Linked DNA regions of Lonchura striata. The protein of the gene in region 1 interacts with the protein of each later gene in a pairwise test. Links are inferred from orthologs where the notes say so. Each region holds a gene or a part of one and is shown on either strand. Other genes may lie near its edges.

What was found. The genes of interacting proteins can lie anywhere in the genome.
Region 2: the proteins of PUM2 (region 1) and DAZL interact in a two-hybrid assay, tested with the Homo sapiens proteins (2 studies listed by BioGRID and IntAct). The link is inferred for Lonchura striata from reciprocal best matches to the Homo sapiens genes PUM2 and DAZL.

The regions. Positions count from the first base shown.
Region 1 is NC_134605.1:104,350,034-104,357,990, forward strand, and holds the start of PUM2 (pumilio homolog 2), read right to left. Parts: upstream 3,476-7,957; 5' UTR 3,465-3,475; coding exon 3,384-3,464; intron 1-3,383. UniProt on the Homo sapiens protein: Sequence-specific RNA-binding protein that acts as a post-transcriptional repressor by binding the 3'-UTR of mRNA targets.
Region 2 is NC_134603.1:121,531,453-121,539,618, reverse strand, and holds the start of DAZL (deleted in azoospermia-like), read right to left. Parts: upstream 3,176-8,166; coding exon 3,058-3,175; intron 3,017-3,057; coding exon 2,994-3,016; intron 861-2,993; coding exon 726-860; intron 431-725; coding exon 339-430; intron 1-338. UniProt on the Homo sapiens protein: RNA-binding protein, which is essential for gametogenesis in both males and females. Plays a central role during spermatogenesis.

The DNA of each region.
Region 1 (7,957 bases):
TAGCTTTGTATTTAATCAATACACACGTGAAGAGTTACAGAACTTAATGCAGCTTTTAAAAACTCACTTCCTTTGTGAAGAGATTTATCATCTAATTCTACATTAAACTTTGTATCAACCATGCAAAATGTCTATATGACTAGTTCAATCCATCATCCAAAATTCTTCCTAAAAAAACATGGATGAAATCTAACAGCAAAGTTATGAACACATAGATCTGACATGACTCCACTTACTTCCACTAGGAATTACATACTGAAAGCATTATATGGAAAGATGGACAACCAGACCTATTACCTCTGATACTTCTGCCAACACCTCAATAAAGCAAGAGGTAATCTACCCTGGAGTTGTATGGAAAATTAAATTTAAAATAATCACAACTACAAAACGTAGACCAGATTACGTAGTCCAAGGTACACAAATATGTGGTGTCAGAAAATAAGCCTGCCTAGAAAGGCTGCAGATGTGCTTTTAGCATAGCCTGCAGAGGACAGTAGATCATATCAGCACTCAAGTTTAGTGTAAATAAATGCATATACAGAGAACTGGCAAAAAAGTCAAATGTGGCTTATTACTGAGGTGGTTTTGCTATGGAGTTAGGCATTTCCTTCTGAACTCCTAAGATGGTTGTCATAACCTCTTCTGATGCATTTCTTCTACGTACCTACAACTACTCTTAAATAACCATGTTTAGAAAAACTATCTGCTAAGCAATAATGAAATATAATCTTTAGAGATAAGTAGCCTTTATTTGTAAGCTAAACATTTCACATACCAGCTCTTGCCTACTATTCTAAAAGCCACAGCAGGTACTCTGAGTGAGATCCAAACTAAATCTTGCTGTAAAGTTTCAGCATGCAACCATTGTATGAATTTTATATAACTTGTTTGAAATGACACCGAAGCAGCTAGAACTGAATCCTTTACGTGTTTTGATGTAATTTAAAATGGTTTTCCACTACATGACTGTGAAGTGCCTCCAACTTCATTACTAGCAACACTACACAATTGGTAATATTTGTTACAGGAGGTTTTAAAGGAAAGATTTCTTTCCTCATTGCCAAGACAAAGGCCTAGGCATTGGCTTACATGGAATAAGCAAGACAAGAGTTATGTTATGGGTGGGGAAATTGCAATTAAATGGGGCAAACATTTTCACTTAAATTACTTGAAGATAAAGAAGATTGATAACTCTCATACACATCTACATTTTTGATACACACAATGAGAAGCATTTATACATTATGTCTACTGTCTTATGCGTTTCCTCTGTAGAGTTTCTAACAAACTTTGTAAAAAGAAAATCCAATGTATTAATGCTCATTTTACAGGAGATTCTCAACATAGAATTTAACATCCAAGAGAATTTAGGTTTCCTTTTAGTGCAATAGACAGTTAATTTTCATATAATTCCACATTCAGAAAAATAAGCAGGAAGACATACAAGTAGGAATTCAAAACTTCTATTGGCTTACTTGCCTCTGTGTAAAAAACTTAGATTAACAATTCTGGAATTTTGGAAACCACTGTAAAAAGAAAGATTAAATTATCAAGGAGAATGCTTCTACACATGCTGACTATTCAATACACACTCAAGTATCACTAAATGAAGGAGAGGGGGCAATATCTAAAAGTGAACTAGAAAGTGCTGCTTAAAAATCAAATCTAGTTCACAGTTTCAGCAAGCTGACGTTCTGTAACACACCTGCAACATCTGGCCCACCGAGAACATTGCAGAGAAACACCCAAGGAAAACAACTACATAAAGCCTTCAGTGTACTCCACAATCCACTGTAAGATTTAATATACACTGTCATAACAAGAGGCATCTTCTTATAAAAAGACATGCAAGCCCAGCTCTTTCAGCCAACTGCTTGCACTATTAGCTCAATCACGATACCAGATACAATTACAATTGCCTCAGCGCTGTGCCAACATGCCTCAAATAGAAGATTTATTACTACAGTGATACTACGAGGGGAAAAAAATCAAACCATTGTTATTAATGCAGAAAACAGAGTATTCAAATAACATGGACTTTCCTTTGTACAACATCCACATAATATACTGCAGAATGTGCATTATCAAGCAGTTTCTCACATGCATTTGCCTACTAACCATTCTGCTGGGCCAAATTCCAAATTTTCAACTCTGAACACTTCAGAAACTGTCAGGTGATCTGGTGTCATTTCCACCCATATAACCCAAACGACACCACCACTAAATTAGCATTTCCCTTTTAATGCGAGTTTCCTTCTCCCACTTCCCTAGCATATTTATACTCGCGTTGACACAGTTGTTGAGCAAAGCAGGCAGCATTTCCCTCAGCTTCTCAATAAAACTGCGACTGTTGTTAACATCTGGTTTTAAACCTAGACGTGACTAAATATAACACAAAACTACGCTTTATGTGTAAAAATGGTAACATGGCATAGTTTATATTTTGAATGCATTCATATCCCACATACCTGAAGAGCTACACCATTAGCTTACTGAAACTATGAAGGCCTGATCTCTCAGTGGAGATGCAACAAAGAGAAAGTAAAATAAACCTCAAAGTATTTTGTTAACTGTAGCATATGTAGGGAATATTAGGCGAATTAAGAGTTTTACTGATTCACATTGCTCATACACATCTAATTGCTCAGAAAAAAAGCATCCCGAAATCAGGTGATAAGAGGCTCTTTATCACATCTCAAACATGCTGCACATTTTGGTATTAAGCCATCTTGCTACAAACTGTAAGCCAGAAGAATATAAACCGTCCCAAAAATATTTTCTCTCAAAGAAATAAGGATCTGACCTTAGGAAATACACGAGAAAACAATGCCGAAACAAAACCCGAAAATCTTTGCACAATAACTGCCACGGAGATTAACCCCAAACTGTTCTCTGTAGGCACGATCCACTCAGGACAGGAGGCATTTCCCTCAACTTTTTGTTTTTGTGGTCTGCACAGGCAGATTTGAAGTGGAATCAAACCCTACCGCTTCATTGTGTGCCACCAGCTTACCAAAGGCATTTGGCCTTCTCGCTGCACTCTCAGGAAGCGGTTATTATCTTTAAGAGCACTAAAAAAACAACACAAGTTTTTCGCACGTTCGAACAAAGCCCGTGTGATCCCAGCCACGCAGTGGCCCGTGGGGTCCGAGCGCCGCCCCTGTCTCCGCTCCCCCCGAGCCCGAGTCCATTGCAGCCCCGGGGCTGCGTCCGCCCCCGCCTGCCCCGGGCCCCGGCGCTGCCCCGGGCAGCAGCGCGGCCCCGCACGCCCCGCCGGGCCGGGCTCGGCTCCCCGACCGCACAATGCCGCCCCTCCCTCCCTCCCTCCCTCCTCGCTCCCCCGGCGCCGCCGCCCCTCACGGCGCTCGCTGCGTCCCCACCTCGGCGCCGCTCCCGGGCGGACACAAAGGCGGCGAGGCCGCCGCGCAGGCCGCGCGCCGCCCGGTGACCTGCCACAACATGGCCCCCTCCCTCCTCCTCCTCCTCCTCCTCCTCCTCCTCCTCCTCCTCCTCCTCCTCCTCCTTCCCTCCCTCTCCCCTCCCTCGGCGCGCAGCCGAACCCGCAGACAAAAGGGGGCTGGAGGAAGGGGGCCCGCCCGCCCGCTCCGCCCGCCCGCGGCCTTCCCAGCGCGGCGCCGGCCCCCCGGGGCTACTCACGGGCTGGCTGGCGGCGACGGAGCCGGAGCGGCCGCTGGGACACGCCTGCCCGCCCACCGGCCCCTTCCTCCTCCTCCTGCCGCTCCCGCTGGGCGCCGCTCCTTCCTGCCTCCCCTCCCGCCCGCTCGGGGCTCACAACAACATCGCGCGGAGGGACAGGGACAGCGAGAGCGCGGCTGAACCTCCCCGGCCGCTCCCCCCGGCCGCCGCCGCCGCTCGGCCCCGCCGCCCCTGCCCGCCCCGGCCCCGCCGCGCCTGCGCGCCCCGGCCCGGCCCGCGGGGAGGCGGAGGGAGGAGGCGGCGGCCCCCGGCCCCTTCCGCCGCGCATGCGCCGCCCGCCGCCCCTCAGCGGGCACGGCGGAGGGGTGTCCCCGTCCCCATCCCCGTCCCTGTCCCCGTCCCCGTCCCTGTCCCCATCCCCGTCCCTGTCCCCGTCCCTGTCCCTGTCCCCATCCCAGTCCCCGTCCCCATCCCCGTCCCTGTCCCCGTCCCTGTCCTGCTCGCCGGCAGCGTCAGTAGCGCTGGCCTGGTGTGCTTGTGCTCTCCTGCATTTACTGCCGCCAGCTCTGGGCTCCTAGTGCCAGAACGACAGGGAACTATTGGAGGGGGTCCAGTGGAGGCCACAACGATGATGTGCGGTCAGGAGCATGTCCCGTATGAGAGGACTTTGTGGAAGCTGGGCCTGTTCAGTCAAGAGAAAACCGAGAGCGGATCTCATTAATACATATAAGTATGTCAAAGGCAGGTGCCAAGAGGATCACAGAATCATAGAATTTGCTGAGTTTGAAGGCACCCATCAGGATCAAGAAGTCCACCTCCTGGCCCCGCACGGGACAGACATCCCGAGTCACACCATGTGCCTTAAAATGTTGTCCAAGTGCTTCTTGAACTCTCTTAGGCTTGGTGCTGTGACCACTGTCCTGGGGAGCCTGTTGCAGTGTCCAGCCAACCTCTCTCTGGGTGAAACCTTTCCCTGATACGTAAGCTAAACATCCCCTGACTCATCTTCAAGCCACTCCCTTGGTTCCTGTCACTGGTCACCAGAGAGGAGAGATTGCTGCTTGCCCCTCCACTTCCCCCATGAGGATGCTGAAGACTGAAATGAGGTCTCCTCTCAGTTTCCTCCAGCCTGGAGCACCTGGCTGGTGCCAGACTTTTAAGGGGTGCCCAGTGACAAGAGCAGTGGCAATGAACTAAAATACAAGAAGTTCCACCTGAACATGGAGAAGAACTTTAAATTGACATGGCAGAGCACTGGAAAAGGCTCCCCAGGGATGCCATGGAATCTTCATCTCCATTCAAAACCCACCTGGACAAATTCTTGTGAACCTGCCTTGGCAGGGGCTGGACTAAATGATCTCCAGAGGTCCCTTCCAACCCTAACAATTCTGTGATCCTGTGATTTTAGGCTTTTCAGGAAGCGTGGCAGTGGGAAGTGGCACCCACCTGGGGGCCTGGGAGACAAAGGGAAGGCGAGGCCTGTTTGAGGGGTCCCCAGTGGTCCCTGGTAACACCCCACGCCACCCATGTACGTTTGCATGTGTGTGTTACACCAAATGAAAATGCATCTCGGCAGTTACTAATTTATTAGTTAACTGCTGTGCTAATAGTTACTGTGTGGTGATTTTAGGCAAAGAGCCAATTATGCCCTTCCCATGAGAGAGTTAAAGATGGGATCACTGGTACAGCAGGGAGGTGCTGTTGGTAAATACAGTTCTGGTGCAGGTAGGCATTGCCAGCACTGCGTGTTGATAACCTCAACATGAGCATAAATTCTGCATATTTAGCAGCCCCTAAAAATTAGAGGGATCTCTGCATGTCAATGACATTTTAAAACACAAGAAAATCCCCTATTTTGCCTTTTTAGCCATTCTTTAAGAGCCTGGTTAGAGAATGCTCCAGTGCAGGAAACAGTGGCAGGTGCCATCCACAGCTCAACCCTTCAGCCAAGCCTGGCTCTGGGCCCTGTGGGCAGTGCACATTGGTGCTGCTGACCCCTCGATGTGCTGGCAGGGAGGAGGCCAGCCCTGCCTGTGGCAGTGACTCCAGGCGAGCTGGGCTGCAGGAATAGCACCTGTACTGGTGCTACTGCTGGCACAGCACTTGTGTGGATGAGATGTCTGTGACTACCAACTGTGTTCTTAAAAATAGAGATGTCTCAAAGGAGAAAATCCTCACTGTTTTCAGTATTTATAGACATGGTTAAGAACATAAAAGTTCCCAGCTCCTGATAAAGATAGAAACATTTCTGCAAGAAATGAAAATGACTTCTTGAGTCTAATACTAGTCAGCTAAATACTCAGATGTCTGCAGCCTGCTGCCACTCACGTGGCTAATCTCTGTGATCCCCAGTGTCCCATCCCACTGCCACCTGGGGCTGTCTCCAGGGAGGCTGCAGGGCTGAAAAGCCAATTCCTGTGCTTACTGAGGAGGGAAGGCCTCTAAGTCACAGCCTCCAAGCCAGCCCTTCCCTTCATGCAGACCAGCTGGGACTGAAGGAAACCCTGTTATGCTCTTGGCATCCTGAACACTTACAGCAGCTGGTCTACATTATACCAGCTCTCCAGCTCTTACCCTTCTGGGGACTCTGTTTGTCCTCAATAATTATAATCAGTGTTTGTATAAAGCATCAAATCTTCACAAAGAACTCAACATGCATTTGATAAGCATGAGCTTGAATGATTTTGACATCAATGTGTTTCTCAGTGTGCTTTTTCTCAGAAAAACCCAAACTGATCATGAAACAGAAAAATGTTTAAGTGCAATCAGTTTGGGATTTGATCTGATAAATACAATTATTTGATTATTTTCTAAAGTTTTTTTTTTTTAAAGAATAAAACAATTCCACCACCACACATCTCACAATTTAATAATGGCACTAAAGTTTTTGACTATGCTAAAATAGTTCAAGAAATTACTTTCTCTCTGACCTTTGTTCTGAGTGGAAACTTTAAAAATACTTAATGCTTTAGATAGTTTTACTTGATATCAGTCCATTACAAAATGTTTTTCCTAGGTATTCCTCTTGCTAATGATATGCTAACAGCTGTCTGTGCTCTGTGTACACTGCAGACATTTCAGATAAACTCCTCTAACACAGTAATGCTTTGTTTTTCTGTGAATAAGTATCCTCAATGTCCCAGCAGCAGTTTTGACAAACAGTGCTGTTGGATCTATCAGGGTAGCAAATACTTAACCTGTATTAATTAAAACAAAGGTATTCTGCCATGAAAATGAAACAACTAGATGTGGTAGACACTTTCAAACCATCTCCACAAAAAAAGGTCCCTGCTAAATCTTGCACTCTTTTAAAACAAGGTGTGTGACATCCTTCACTCCCAGTACGGGGGACCACCCAAATTTGATTCCTTTGCTCAAGACTTACAGGCATGACTTCTTTGGAAAGAGTCCCCAGATCAGCAGCCTACTTTGGCTGCCCTCTGCTGCAGCTGGTCTGTTCTGCAGGGAAGAAGTCAATATCTTTATCTCAGATCTTCTGCTTAATGGCCTTGCTGTCAGAGAAGCATAGAGTTGTTTAAGTTGGAAGGCATTTAATGGCCCTCTAGTTCAAACCCCACATCTAACTATCCCCTCTCTAATCCCCAGTCTGGCTGTCATTCTGCATCTTAAGAGGGGCAGTCAGGGATGTGTGAACCTCTGAGTTCTCTGAAAAAACAGTCGCAGTTAACTACCTACACCTTTGCTGAGGGACAGCCTTGCAGCTCGGGAGCCATTGGAGCTGTCTGTCCCAGTGCCAGAGCAGGGCCTTGGAATGGTGCTTTATATCCTTAGCATGTCCCTTGTGAGCTACACCTTGGTAAAATATGATGATCTGGATGTTTCATGCATTTGCAGGAGCAGATCCCATCCTGAAATTAACTTTCCCACATCACCACTGCATACCAAATCTAGGCACCCGATGCATTGGGTTCTGCATCCCATTTTGTCAAGAGACTTTAATTAATAAAATCAATGAGTCTGAAATGCTACAGTCCCTAGACATGCTGCTAGATGTATTGCTGTAGGAATTTGTTTGTATTTCATGTTTTACCATAACACATAGGAGGGTTTACTGCAGTAAAAACTCTGCCCCAGTGAGCCAAGCCTCCCTCTTGGCTAATCTGTCCCCAGAGCCTCAGAGAAACAGGCTTAGGAGCTGCAGACTCTTTTTACAGAAGGACTTTCCCATCCATGCATCGTTTTGCCTCACCATTGCTTCACAAGCACAGCCTTTCCCTGCCACAGCCATTCATGTGCTAAGTCAGAGCTGATCTTCTGTTCTATTGCTTTTGACCAC
Region 2 (8,166 bases), on another chromosome or scaffold:
TCCAGCCAACAGAACAGTCTTATAAAAGCATTGACTGTATAAGCATCACATGAGTTAGGCTTTGCTTCCAACGGCTGAGTGACAGTGAGCTTCTTTTCCTTGAACAGAGAGGCCAAAGTCAGAAAATTAATGCTATTCTTTGTAAGATTATACAGATTTAGTTGGAGGCAGTATAGATTTACTAGTTTCACAGTCTTAACTCACCACAACAGAAAACTGCATCTACTATTAAGGCTTATACATGTCAAGTGTGTTGCTAAGTATCTGCTCATATCGCCTATTACAGAATGCTGTCCACATAAGCAGCAACTTAAAACAACTACTCATATTCTACCCACCCTTTTGAAATACCAGATCTGTCAGTGATGACCTTCACCTCCTTCACAGTACCATATTGTTCAAAGACACTCCGAATTTCTCCTTCATTCACCTACAAGAAAACAAGGTCTTAAACATCTCCAAAAACATTCAAGTGCTTAGAACTGATTTAAAGCAGAGAGTACCATTTCTTAAAATTATTTTCCACTACCATAAGAACTAAACATGTTCCAGAAATCTCCTATAACACTTCAATACCTTCAAGATTGGCAAATATACACACAAAGAAAAAATAAAAAGAACCCCACCACCACAAAGTAATAAAAAAATCCACACTCAAACAGGACCAAAATTTCCACTGATGTACACCCTTTATTAATTTTGAACTACTAAAAGTGTATACATACCCTTAAGTCAATTCCAGCAACAAAGACTGTGTTTGGCATGATTTTTCCTTCTGGTAAAACATAGCCCTGACTGACTGCTGCTGAATAGGCACTGCCCTCCATGGCGTCTGAGTGCTGGGTTTCCACATGCGCTGCCTAAAAAATTTAAACAAAAATACTTATTTTAGTCAACTAGATTACATTTTAAGACACCAGAATGCCTGCACCTTCTTGCAGATATAGCAGGGGATGAGGAATTTCAATAGCACAAATGGACCATTCATTGGTTCTAACACTTCTCAGTTCAAATTAAACTGGCTCTACAAAATCTGGCAGGAAGATTAACATGAAGTGAGCAGTTTTTCACCCACCTGGTATGCTGCTTTTGTTTGGCTGCATACTCAGCTAAAGGACATTAGAACTGAAATCTGAGATGATAACTCCTCAAGCTGACCTAACTCTTGCTTCTACTTTTTTCTTTCTGGATGTGTCAGTGAACCAAGCTAGAAGTGGTATTCACTTTGTCGTGCAAGTTCTTGGCAGCCCTAAAACAGGAAACGGCTCTCATAAGAGGTGCCCAGCCAGCACCAGCTGAAGGAAGCTGGTAGCCATGGACACTGGTGATAGCCACAGATGCTGCTGGTACACCTGTCACACATGGCCTTGGCCACCATGGAAGTGCAGTGTTCCTGCCTCACACTAATGACGCAGAATTTTCAAAGAAAATTAACTGATTTAACACTCTCACACATTATGTACCTGCAAGAAAGAATAAACAGACTACTTAGGCATTCTGGCAAGCTGGGAAACATCAAAAGTAAGATTAATATACATATTTCCTAGAACTTGAAAAGGAAATAAAAATGCACAGTGGTAAAATTCTCCTAGAACAAAAAAGAAAATTTCCCTCCAAAGCCACTTTTCAAGTCCTCAGTACTATCATGGAAAATGTTTGCCAATTCAAAAAAATTACTGTCTTATCTAAAGCCAAATAATTTTACCAACATAGCACTATCTGAATTAACAGGTTTTTTTCTTCTCTCGTCAAAAAAGAAAATTAATCTGTTTGCTCCCTATTATTCCTGCAAATATGAAGTTTAAACTGATGAGGGGAAACCGGTATAAAGGTCCTCCTTACAGCAGTCAGAAGACTAGTTAAGAGTTTTGGCAAAAGAAAAGGTAGAAAAGGACTAGGTGGAGGAAATACCTGCCTACCTGTGAGAAAACCCTGGGCTTGGTCTGGGGTCTCGTGTGGTGGTAAAGTCTCTCCTTCAACCCGTGCTTCCAAAGAAAAACTCTGCAGCCTCTTGTTGTTTGGTTTCAAGGCAGTTTATTGTTAGTTATCTAAAAGATTGTCTTCGCGGGGTGCGGCTGTTTGGTCAGCGGCCCAAGCAGAGACACACACCCTGACACCCTCACTGTCTGCTGTCTTCTTCTCCCCCCGGCCCAGGGCTGCTGCTATCTTTTATGATATATTACGTATTACATGTTTATAGTTTACCCCCCAATACCTACTACCTATATAACAAAGTACTTTTTTACTCTAAACCAATCTGTGAGTGCCAGCATCACCGAGAACATGGAGGCAAGGAAGAAGGAGGAAGAACAGGATCAGCCCACTTTCCTCCATCTTAGAACTTCTGACCCCCATGTACAAAGTAAAAACCCCCCGTCCCCCGTACAATACTAAAAAAAATTCCCCTCTGTTTTGTAGCTACTTTTACTATGCTATCTATCCCTTTGTGACTGCTTGCTCTACCTTCAAAGTTGGTAACTCATTCCATGGCTCAAACTCAAAATCACAGCTGTTTGCAGCTGCCGGCCAGGGTCTCAAATGCTTCTGACCAAGGCCTGGAACCTCTAAAAATGTCTGAGGGACATTTTGAGTTCCAACATCTACCCACGCGTGTTACAAACTTCACTCAGTTTTATGCTCATCCAGGAAAGAAAAACGTTCACTTTTTTTTTTTGGCCACAAAAGCTCATGATTTCTCAGGCTTCTCCCCTGGCCTCAGCACATTCTCTGTTTAAAGTAAGCATTAGGTTTTTTGAGTTTTTTTGGTTTTATTTTTAAATTGAAGCATTTAACCCCGTGACCCACGTCCCGCTGGGCGGACAGTGCGCGCAGTCGCCATGCCAGCGCCGGAGCCCGCGGGAAGCACATGGCTGCGGCCGCAGCCTCCCCGCTGGGCACTAAGCGGAGCTCTCGGGCCAGCACCGCGCGCTAGGCACAGCTTCTCCGGCATAAAACAAAAAACTCAATAAAAAAAAAAAGCTCCACCGCCTTACTCGTATAGCGTGAAGCGCCAGCGCTACAGTGGCAAATCATGTTTCTCAAACAAAAAGAACAAACGGCAAAGCAGCACGCTGGGGCGAGCCGAGGAGCCCGCAGCACTCCGGGCGACGCCCGCCCTCGGGGGGGGGGCGTTGGACCTCGGGCCGGCGAGGCGCCGCTCGCGTGCCGCCGCCATTTTACAGCCTCACACCCGGGCTGCCCGGCGCCGACGGGGCGCGGGCGGGGAGCTTTGGCGCTGAGAACAATGAAAGCTGTTCGCAAGCCCCAGACAAGGGGTACTGCCGGAGCCTACGCACACCGGGTACACCGCCCGCCACGGGCAGGCGGAGGGATGCCCGCCCAGCCGTGCGGGACAGCGCTATTTTAGCACCGCCACAAAATGGCCGCTCGAGGGTGTGAAGCGTGTTCCGACGCCAAGCCTCCTGCAGACCGTAACACCGATAGCTACGAGCCAGAGGTTCCCCTGCACAAGCCCCTGGCCTGGCAATTGCGGTATTCCCTCCTTCACCGTAACCGCTCGTCTCGCAAGGTGGTAAAACCCTCAAGACAGTTATAGCGCTACTAGCCCTCAGGGGTTCAGCCCCGTCGCCGCGTTACAAGGGGACCCTGCTCCAGCTGAGAGTATTCCCATCCCTCACCCCAAGAACAACCCGACAAAGTTAGTACTCCACTCTCCGCTCCGCTGCCCGCCGGGGGCCCCGCCTCAAAGCACATAACCCAGCAGAAGCCCGCCCGGCGGCTCGGCATTTAAACGCCCCTGCCCCACTGCCCCAGCATGGCTCACCTCCGGCGTTTACTCACCATAGCTAACACTTAATAAGGTTTTCAAACAAAACCCGTATGAACTTCTTTGAGAAAAACTAAGCTCAGGCGGTCACTTCTTCTCGACGGCGAAGCCGGGCTCCCGACGTCGATAAAGCGGGTCCGAGGTAATCCCGTTCTCTTTAAATAGCCCCACTGGGGGATGGGACAGGAGAGGCCACACCCTCCCTCCTCCCTCGCACGCGTGGTGCCCCCCCACCCCCTTGGCGCCCGGCTCCTTGTCCCTCGGTGTCTGAGTTTTAGAAGACAAAGGATCGAGAATACTGTAGCTTTTCTGGTTGTTTTTTTGGGGGGTTTTTTGGTTTTTTTTTTTTTTGAGGAGGCGGATTAGGTTGCGACTATCATTTGTGGCATTTTTGCACAGGAAGTTGTTGAGTGTATGTCATAGCAGCAGCAGCTCTTGCCTTTTTGACAAGAGCTTGTACTTTGCTTGTGGAAGTTTTGAGAATGGTGTGTTGTTGAAGAGGCTTTCACACGTTTTGAGGCAAATGCTCAAAGTAGCTCTCAATTAATGTTGTCACAAACCAATACTATGTAGCTGTGCTAGAGTAATCGGTCTCCATTACCCTGTGCTGAATTCCAGCTTTCTGCCCAATCACCAGTGGGCCAAGTTCTTTCTATAAGGAAATCTCTCTGGAAGCTCTCCTGGTTCTACAGGAATAAGATGAAATTTGGAAATTAGTTTTAAATAGCTGTTTGCCACTGGTATCAAATGTTTAGAAGAGATACTGATTTTAGAAGGTTCAAGGGGGAGGGGAACATCTCACCAAAATTAACCCAACCTCTGACTGGGCTAGGTCAATAAGATGTTTAATTTATGGTTTGGTTCTTTGGGTTTTCTTTGTTTGTTCGGGCTTGGAGATTTTGTTTTGGGTTTGTTTATGTTTTAGTGTTTTGTATGTTTTGGTTATTTTTATAGCAAAGAGATACAAGTGATCTTTGTAAAAGATGAAAAATTGAAGTGGAAGGCAAAACTGATGGAGTGTATTTAACATGTAAGATGGTTTTTCCAATCAAATTTTATGTGTTCTAAAGATTCAACTTTTTATACTCTCTTAAATGAATTAAATAAATTCTGTTAATCGGATCAGATGGCCTCTTGTGCTCAATCATAACACCAAGTGTTCACCTTTTCCAAATGTTATCTTAATAATCCAAAGTAGACTGCTGCACTGGATTTACATGTGACCCAGAGCTGGTTTAGGCAATAGCAATAACAAAGGCCTGATCACATAGAAGTGTTTTTGTTACCTATAGAAGAGATTTTGTTGAATCTGGTGGGGTTGCAATATTATCTAAAGGTAAGCATATGCCTGGGCTTTCATGCAGCTAATGCCCGCTTAATTAAATGGAAGGCATGCTGTACAATACTTTATCAGATCTTATTTGAAATGGCTGAGACTTTGAAAATGGGCCCCAACAATGAGGGAAAATAATACATAGTATCTACTTGGGTGTAATGGATTCATATTTGACCTTAAGGGTGGCAACAAGTGAGGCTGTTCTGAGCTTTTTGTACTGGATTTGGGTCAGGCTTGTGTCCTGTTTTCCTTAACTAGGCATTAGCTTCTAAAATTGGAGAAGATCTGTTGCTTAAAACAAAGAAGAAAGTAATTTCTTTTCTGCTGCCCATACATAAATTTCAAAAGGAGTGGAGGAAGTGGAGTAGGAAATTATTGTCTTAGCTTGTTTTAGAAATACTGCTATTACAATGGTTAATGCTTAATAGATTTATTTGTTAAATGCACTAAGTAGCAGATGAAGAAATAAATTTTATATTCTGCTACACCATGTAGTACTTACCACTTTAATATACAATTTTTTTTGTTTCGTTTTTCCTCTTTAATTAGGACATTGGTAAATAAATTAATTTAGTAAATCAGAGTAATTCAGTGAGAGACTGGCTTGGGATCTGATAGGCTGCAGTGGGTGAGAATTCTGCAGAAAATGTGATGAAAAATTACCAGTCTGATTACAGATAGTAGAGGTTGCATCTTGAAATTTAATACTCCTAAGTACAGGACTACGTGCTTTAAAAGTCAGGTTAGATTTAGTTTTCCTAGAAGTAGACTTAAAAGTAGATTGCAAGAGTAACATGTAGCATTTGAATTTTTGTAACATTTCTCCTAACTCATCTGCAATTTTGGGATCTTTTCTTGTGAATAATGTTGACTCTTTCTGTGAAGTTAAAGCAGCTAACTACTCCTAGGAGATTCATAAATATGAAGAGGAGAATATGAAAGATATATTCAAGCTATTAGATTAAGAACAAGAGAAGAAAGTCCCAATTTTTAGCAAGTTTGCCTAAGAAAAAGATGCTGAGTAACCAAAGAGGATTTGGATATCTGTTTTCTTTGTTTCCTACTTCATATTGAAGAGGGTGTCACATACATTTCACAGCAGGCTTTAAAGCCCTGAAGGGGTCATTCTATATCTGGTTAAACTTTGGATATTTCCTTTGCTGGTCTTTGCATCAGGGTAGCTATTTAAGAGGATATATCATAATGTTCTGATGAACACCTGCCTTTTTAAAAAAATCGACACTGTTATAATGTGCACTGAAACCACTAGAGTATCCATAATCAAACCACAATCTATATTTTCACTAGCGCAGTAAAATCCTTCAAAATGTAATGAATCATTTGCTGAATGATTTTCCTTATATTTCCCCCCCAACTCTAAGAAGTAATGCAACACAAGTAACTTCTATTAAAAAAAAACCACGGTGAATTTCTGCATGAATAATGTTTCAATATTTTTCCCCCTTGATTTGGATGAAAACTGGAATATTATTTTCAACATTAATTCATTTATTTAATTTTCATTAGTGAAATTTGGAAGCTTATTTTTTCTAGAAATGACATTATTTTAGAACACTTAAATTAGTCTGATAATAAATTTAACTCATACAGTCAATAACTAAGTGAAAACTTAAGAGTTAAACCATAGATAACTTGAGTTATCTGTAACCTAAGTCAGGACATTGTTGAAATCATTGTATAAGGTTGTCAAGGATATGTTTAGCACTATCAATAATTGTGATTAGCCTTTAGGCATTTAAATTCAGACAAAATCTAAATTTAACCTTAATAACTTTAACCACTATCGGAAAGCTGGTCCACACTTCAGCTTGTACTACAGCATGACTGAAACATTTCAGTGTATTGCACGGGTATGTAATATTCTTCATCCAAACATTCTACAAGAATGACTTAAACAAGTACATAGGAACAGGTAAAGACAGCTGTGCGTGATTCAGATCAAAAGTACCACCAGTTTGGTATCTTCGTTCAGAGCAGCCAGGAGTGCCTAGAGAAAAGATGTGAAGACAGGGCAGGTGTAGAGTGATTTTTCTTACTTTTAGTTTCTCCCTGTGCTTGCCAGCCTCCAAAGCATGTCCCGAGCCCCTTTCGAGACTGTATTTAATGATACTCAGTGATTTTTCTGTAAAGTTCTCTGGTCTCTTTTTCAACTTGCGCTTAATATATGCGTAAGAGTATTTAACACTGAGGCCCACAGGGCAAAAAGGCATTGCATGGAAAATGTACTTGGTTGCTTAAGCTTTTTTCCTTATAATTAGAGTAATTTCATTTACAACATTCCATTTCATCAACACTAAGTAAGACAGAATAAAAGTAAAATATATTTGTGAACAATTTCTTCTTGCTATCCTCTGCTTCCAGTACTGCTCTGAATTACAACAAATTGTATGCATCTCTGGTTTCTAGAAAGAGTTTTTTCACTGCACGGGGAGTTTGAATATCTGTCTGCTTTACAATTAGATTATTAGTAGGTTCTTCTACCTTTTCTCTAAACTTACAGACCCTGAAAACTTTTCTTCCCTCACCATGCTACAAGTTCAAATTGCAGTGAGCCATTTTCCTTCATCAGAGCATTTCACCTTAGTGTCTTGTGTTGAAAAAATAGAATATAGAAGCCAGAACAAACAGAAAAATACTGTCTGATATTGGTCACTTCCTTGCAGAGCATTACCCTTCCATCTGCTATGGAGGAAAAAGGAGGAAAAGCAGCACCCTTTATTGCTTTTCTGTGTACTCTAGAATGGGCTGCCGTCCTTTACAAAAATATGGCTTGGAGAAACCTCTCAGCTCTCTGCTTTGGCCCTGATTTAGCCCATCTTTCAGGCAGTTGTTTCCTTCTGGAAAAACAACAACTTTCACAGTCTCCATTTTATATTTGATTAAATAAACCCCAGCTGTCTGTTTTTTCTCATTTTCCATTTTTATAAAAATTATTATCTGAAAAGGATAGAACTGAGAGAGGGATAAAGGTGTTTTAAAACTTTCTCTTATACAAAATCCTAAATCAAAATTATATTTACAG